Schizosaccharomyces pombe: one gene and its partner. The main gene of each other region encodes a partner of the protein of the gene in region 2 in a complex. Each region holds a gene or a part of one and is shown on either strand. Other genes may lie near its edges.

The links.
Region 1: tfb5 (region 2) and tfb1 share a complex: the UniProt entries of both Schizosaccharomyces pombe proteins name them as parts of the 7-subunit TFIIH core complex.

Annotation. Positions count from the first base shown.
Region 1 is NC_003424.3:3,520,502-3,524,258, reverse strand, and holds the start of tfb1 (transcription factor TFIIH complex subunit Tfb1), read left to right. Parts: upstream 1-1,869; 5' UTR 1,870-1,888; coding exon 1,889-1,934; exon of another isoform or gene 1,935-1,971; coding exon 1,972-2,058; exon of another isoform or gene 2,059-2,103; coding exon 2,104-2,766; exon of another isoform or gene 2,767-2,811; coding exon 2,812-2,995; exon of another isoform or gene 2,996-3,052; coding exon 3,053-3,596; intron 3,597-3,639; coding exon 3,640-3,717; 3' UTR 3,718-3,757. Other genes in the region: protein Png3, read left to right, coding at 161-215, 263-334, 615-1,123; SPOM_SPAC16E8.18 (uncharacterized protein), read left to right, coding at 1,286-1,609. UniProt on the Schizosaccharomyces pombe protein: Component of the general transcription and DNA repair factor IIH (TFIIH) core complex, which is involved in general and transcription-coupled nucleotide excision repair (NER) of damaged DNA and, when complexed to TFIIK, in RNA transcription by RNA polymerase II.
Region 2 is NC_003423.3:2,807,756-2,811,078, forward strand, and holds tfb5 (transcription factor TFIIH complex subunit Tfb5), read left to right. Parts: upstream 1-2,118; coding exon 2,119-2,325; 3' UTR 2,326-2,784; downstream 2,785-3,323. Other genes in the region: glyceraldehyde-3-phosphate dehydrogenase Tdh1, read left to right, coding at 1-892; SPOM_SPBC32F12.12C (golgi membrane protein involved in vesicle-mediated transport), read right to left, coding at 2,994-3,194, 3,317-3,323. UniProt on the Schizosaccharomyces pombe protein: Component of the general transcription and DNA repair factor IIH (TFIIH) core complex, which is involved in general and transcription-coupled nucleotide excision repair (NER) of damaged DNA and, when complexed to TFIIK, in RNA transcription by RNA polymerase II.

The sequences.
Region 1 (3,757 bases), on a different chromosome or scaffold from region 2:
CCTTATAAGTGGAAAACCGAGATTCTTTGGTTCGATTGCACTTATATTACAGACGTAAACAAAAGGAAGCAAAAAGCAATGCTAACCTTGGGCAAGTAATAAAAGTCAAACTAGAAAGAATCCTCATGAATAGCTGTATATAATCGACAAGTCGTCAGCCATGGCAAAACCAAAAAAGGAAAATGACTTGGATCTTCTTATACAACTTGCTGACGGTAATAAATGAACATGTGTAAATAAATAATTTTCTTACATTATTTAGCATTGGAAGCTATACCGGGTGATTTATCCAAAAATTTTACGGAAGTCCGTTTTTTAGAGGCTGAACTAAAGGGTAAGTGATAGTGGCATTATAGATTGGGATTTTTTGCTTGAACAACTGTGAAGGTTTTGATAATAAACAAAAAAATGAAAGATTACTAGTGAAACCGTTCTGGTGTTGATTTTCTTTGTTAATGTTTAATCAATCTGCTTAGGACTTGTTTGAACCTTGAATATGTTATTCAAAAGGACTTGAACGCTACTGAGGCTTATAATAAGTTTATGTTGTTCTTATCAAAACTTGCCTATCTAGAGCTTGCCTTTTTCTGATTTAAAATGATTAACATGTTCAGATGTGTATTCACAAGCTCTTTCTTCAATTGATGACCTTCTTAACAGAGATACTAGTGTTGAACGTCGTAATTTAGTCGCTCGAAACTTATCATTACTGTTAAAATCCGATGATGTACAAACTCGAAAAAAATCCCACATTGCAATGTATGCAGAGGCAATTACTCATAGTAATGTTTTACGTTTAGAACACTGTTATCAAAAGATGGAAATGAAATTACCAAATTTTTTTATTCCTTTCACTCCAGAGGTTATAAAAGAGCAAAAAACTTCGAGACCTATTAGAGCATCCCGGCGGAGAGCCAATTTAAGGAATCGCCGTGCTAAAGAATTGCTAGCAGCTGAAAACGCATCGGAGGAAGGAGATAAAAAGCAAATAATCACGGATTCTGGTAAACTACCAGAGACAGAGGAATTAACCGAGACCACAAATGAAGACCTCGACATCAAACAATTCTCTCCCTATTCTTCAGAGAGCAGTGCAAACGTTTCTTCTTACAATAAATCTTGAAACTTACGTAAAGCCTTATATTATTAAAATTCTTGCTTTTTTGTTTTTCTAATTGAAATACACTAATAATAGTTTATCCGGGATTAGCTACTAAATTCTAGTCATTCAACAGAAGTCACTTTGAAAACATATATAAACTCATGTCTTTCCATACTGATTCGAATGGAGGTAACTTCTTTCATACTTAATGCTACGTTTAAAGAGTTTGCATGTTTTGGAAACAATTACTTGATAATACTACCAGGAATTATGTTAGAAAGGAACGTATTTAGACATTTGAATTACTCTACAAATTCTATTTGTAGCCACTATCAGTTTTTTGGCGGACATTACGAATCTTTTGAACTTTTAGTAGTGATAGTTTATTACTTTTCACATGTTGGTTCTTTCTCTTTGGCTGAGATATATCGTATTACCTGGGATAAACGCATTGTACTTTATGGAACAACAACCACTCTTGTCTACTGCTCTGAAGGGTCGGATTGATTGCGTATATGATTAATTCATATTGTATTTTTTTAAAAATAAAACAGGGCTATAGTTTTAGATAACTGTCTCTTATAGGTTACCTATGTTCATAGCTCAACTTAATGAGGATATATTTACCCAAAATCTAAGTGTATATGATTTGGGACATCAAGAAACCATTCAAAACTTTTATTTTTCTAATGATTTTCGTAGTTTCCAATGTTCATCCTGTGTCTAACAAATCTTGATAATTTCGTAAAAGACTAGCGGTGTATTCCACAACTACCAAAATATCTGATGGGAGACAGGGTAGAAGCATTAGCCATATTCAGAAAAAAACAAGGTAAAATAACAATTAAATCAATGATTCTAACATGCAGGCGTATTATCTATCGATAGTAGATTAAAATGGACGGGGGAAGGGAAAACAACACCATCAGTAGATATTGCTTTTGATGCAATTTCGAGTAATAATAATTGTTGCATTTTCGAGATTACTGACAGATTGATAGATCTTCAAACTACTCCAGCGTCTAATCCAAAAGTTATGATTCGTGTTTTTATAGTAGTAAAGGAAGGTGAAGATCCCACTTCTTTAGTATTTCATTTCACCGGTACTCCTAATGCCAGAGAAAATTGTGATATGATTACTAATGAGTTGAGAAATGCGATACAAAGACAAAGGGAAGGCTCTCAATCTAAACCACAAGGAGCCAATGTCGATCGTGTAAATTCTACGAATCTAGAAAAGGACATCGACTTACAAGAGTCTTTGCTTACTAACAATCCCGATCTCTTACAAACATTTAAGGAAGCAGTTATGAAGGGACATTTAAGTAATGAGCAATTTTGGAGCACAAGGCTTCATTTGCTCCGCGCTCATGCTGTAGAAAGGTCTCAGCAGCGTGGTCCTTATAATGTCTTGTCTACTATTAAACCTAAAACAGTGGACAACCAAATGAAAGTTTCCCTTACCGGCCAGCAAATTCACGATATGTTTGAACAACATCCATTGCTCCGAAAGGTATATGACAAGCATGTGCCTCCTCTAGCAGAAGGAGAGTTTTGGAGTAGATTTTTCCTTTCCAAGCTTTGTAAAAAGCTTCGTGGCGACAGAATTACACCAATGGATCCCTCTGATGATATAATGGATAAGTATTTAAAAGATAATGAAGGTAATTTCTCCAACCTAGATGAATTCCATTTCTAACATTTTCAAGAGGTAACCAAAGTATCGGATGAACCTATTGCATCGCACCTCTTTGATTTAGAAGGAAATGATCAAAATGCAAATGTAATAGCAGAACTTAGACCTGATATCACTATGCGAATTGACAAAGAAGCTCTACCGTTTATGAAAAACATCAATCAGCTTTCGGAAAGACTTTTGGAAAAAAGTTTGGGGTATGTATATTCGGTTTTATTAATTGTTATTGCTTCGGTATGCCTAACAACTTGTAGAAACTCTAAACGATTTAACAACGAAAATGAAGAAACATACTTAAAAGAATCTGGTTTTCACGATTTAGAAGAAGAAGCCAGTGACTCTAAAGTTGTCTTAAAAATCAAAGGTCAAGATCAGTTATTGGAAAATAATTTTGTCCCCTCAAAAAATCAAGTTGGTTTAGAGCCTTTGCCTTCATTGGAAGCTCTTCAACATTTATACCAGGAAGATTCGATAAGCTTAAATCACATTGAACATGATTCTGACTCTTTGGCTGAAGCCGCTATGCAGCTTACTCAGAGTATGCGCGAAAAGCATGAGTTTGAGACCCACGGCACTGCATCAAATTTACCTATTGACATAAAAAATGAAATTGTTTTGTGCCATACCGTTACGATAGAATTTTTGCATCAATTTTGGAATGCCTTGTTGAATACAACTTTCCCGGACAAGAAGGCGATGGCCCCCCTTCAGAATGCTCTGTTAAATTCGAAAAAAAGGGTGGAGGCAATTGCGAGCCAGGCTCAGGAACAAAACGTTGATCCAAAACTGGTTTATGAGGTAAGTTTTTTTTGTAGAGATTTTGATTATTAACTAGGATTAGTTGGTATCCTGTACGCTCACTTCTATTGATACGTCAATCTCGGAGTATCAAAGACGAATGTCTTATCCTCCTGCTTAGGTTTGATAATGTCTTTGGAAACTCAATTGTGCTTGTAAAA
Region 2 (3,323 bases):
TGAATACATGGCCTACATGTTCAAGTACGACTCTACCCACGGTCGCTTCGATGGCTCCGTCGAGATCAAGGATGGTAAGCTCGTCATTGATGGCAATGCCATCGATGTCCACAACGAGCGTGACCCCGCCGACATCAAGTGGTCTACCTCTGGTGCTGACTACGTTATCGAGTCCACCGGTGTCTTCACCACTCAAGAGACTGCCTCTGCTCACTTGAAGGGTGGTGCCAAGCGTGTCATCATCTCTGCTCCTTCCAAGGACGCCCCCATGTACGTTGTCGGTGTCAACGAGGAGAAGTTCAACCCCTCTGAGAAGGTTATCTCCAACGCTTCTTGCACCACCAACTGTTTGGCTCCCCTTGCCAAGGTCATCAACGACACCTTCGGTATCGAGGAGGGTCTCATGACCACTGTCCACGCTACCACTGCCACCCAAAAGACCGTTGACGGTCCCTCCAAGAAGGACTGGCGTGGTGGTCGTGGCGCCAGCGCCAACATCATCCCCTCCTCCACTGGTGCCGCCAAGGCCGTCGGTAAGGTTATTCCCGCTCTTAACGGTAAGCTTACCGGTATGGCTTTCCGTGTCCCTACCCCCGATGTTTCCGTTGTTGACTTGACCGTCAAGTTGGCCAAGCCTACCAACTACGAGGACATCAAGGCCGCCATCAAGGCTGCCTCTGAGGGCCCCATGAAGGGTGTGTTGGGTTACACCGAGGACGCTGTTGTCTCCACTGACTTCTGCGGTGACAACCACTCCTCCATCTTCGATGCCTCTGCCGGTATCCAACTTTCTCCTCAATTCGTCAAGCTCGTCTCTTGGTACGATAACGAATGGGGTTACTCCCGCCGTGTCGTTGACTTGGTTGCCTACACTGCCGCCAAGGACAACTAACTAGCTAATCATCCCGATGCTAAGAAACGTCGGGTGGGTGCTTAAAGGCAATGCAGGAAAGTCTTTTGGAGTTGTTTTCCCCGTTTTTTCTTTATGTTAGACAAAGGAGTCGTTGTCGTTTGCAGTGCGGGAGTTTTCTTTTTTAGATTTTCGCATTTTTTTTGTGGACGCGCACTCTATGTGAATAAATAGATGGATGACTTTTTTACAAATTTCCTCTGTTCTTTGATACCCTCCTTCTCATTCATTGTTGCATATATTTTTTTTAATTTTGTTGCAGTGATGAGATGGCTGAGCGTTTGTTTTTGAACTTATAAATACTTATAAATAAATTTTATGATTTTGATAAATACTTTTTTTCGTTTTGGTTTGTGATACGTATAGTTTGCCTGTCTCCTTTTGTAAATGATCTTCTTTTGTAGTCTTGTGTAATCTCTTTTTCATTTGGTCAACTTAAGTGAATTTTTTTTTGTCAGTTTCCTTGTAGGATATTATGTCAAAGTCTTATTTATACTATATATTATTGCTTTGGTGGTGAGTCGCATTTGTGGGGACGGTGTTACTTTACTGATGGATTTAGGTAGGAGGCATCCACTGTCCCCCATTTCGCTAGCTTAAGTTTAATATGAAGATGCACTTAAGCATGAACGCCCGTTTTGATCTTTTTCACTTGTACCGCGAAGAGCTTGTTTTACTGTTTTTCCGTCTGCATCCCGAGAACTAGTTGATCTCCCAATGCACACTTTAGACTTTATTCAAACCGAAGTCGGTTTTGTAATTTAAAAATTTTTACCCACTGTAAAGTACAAACAATTCATCGCTATGTTAGTTGTGTACGCTACTAGCGCATCACATGATTACATGTTAATCAACAAAAACGAAAATGTTTATTGTCAATCTAAAAATACATATGTCCGTTAAGACAAAAGTATGAGGCTGGATGGAATGAGCAATGGTAGCAAAAGGTTTCCGAAATGGTCATATCATTTTTTCAATTTTTGCTGATCTCAAATACCTCAACTTGTTTTATTCATATAAATAATTTGTTTTTGCATATAATCATAATAATCAAATTCATTACCATCTTTAACACAACAAACTTGCATGATATTTATTCTTGTTTGCTCTTACATTCGGCATCCAACGATCATGGGTAACTTGATACCTGTGGCTTAAGGAGCTTGTAGCATGCCATGATTCTGCTGGCAGACACCAAATTTGAGGCAATGCCACGCGCACAAAAAGGCTTACTCTTGGTTGAATGTGACCCAACCGTTAAGCAATTGATTTTGAACATGGACGAACAGTCTCCTGGTATCGTTATCGAAGAGATCGATGAAGAACGATTGTTAGTAAATGAAAGTCGACTAGAACAGGTGAAAGCAGAGTTAGAACGACGCCTTGAGGAAAATACATATCAAGTTGAAGAGTAAGAAGAGATTAGTATGACGAAAGTTTTCTTTGGATGATGAACTGAATGTTTCAGTCGATGGACGAACCTAATATTGTACGATTAATGGATCATTCAATGTCAACGATCTATGATCATTTTCTCAATTTTAAATTGTAAAAAAATTTTAAAATAATGCAAAAAAGAAATTAATTCTACCTTTTATTTGGATATGGGTGAAAAGGTTGGTTTATTTTTTAATGACTTGACGTTTGTGTCAAATTACATAACAGTACCCAAAACTCGTGTACCGATGGGCAAAAATTATGAAAGGAGCCAGCTGATTTTGTATTTTTTGAAAATAAGTTTTGAATATATTGTTAACTACGCCGAGCTATTCAGTAGTTGCTTGCAAGTCTTTATTTAATTTTTAGTATTGAATGAAAGTTTATACTATTTGAATATACTATACTATCTATATAATTAATATGTATAATAAGAGAAATGTTCTTCTTTGTCTAACGATATTTTTATGCATTCCTAATTGAAACTTGGTGGTGTTTCTAGAAAGATAGTTCAGTTCATACGCGTGATAACTTTTTCAACACCGGGAACTGGAAGAACATACAACAAGGAAAAGGCATAGTTTCATGCTTGTCCTATAAACAAATGAACAAGGAAAAAGATCAATAAAGATCAATTTTGCATATTCTAAACCATAGTGCTGGGAGGTGTTTCGGTCGTGATACCTGTTCCACCAAGCGTGGAACTTGAAGTAAAAGCCTGACCTTTAATACCGGCAAAGGTGTAACATAAACCAGTAAGAGCGAGCACAATGCCGGTGGCAATAAGACTAGTAGCCATAAAGATGCAACTGAGAAAGGTTACCACGGAAAATATAAAATAGACAAGCTAAAAGAGTTAATAAACACTGTATGTAAAAGACAGCAGGAAGGCAACAAAGGAATTAAAAATATCCAGAGGCATGCTTTTTCCCCTGTGTGCCTTTCTTAAAAGAAACTATAACAACTTACACCACGG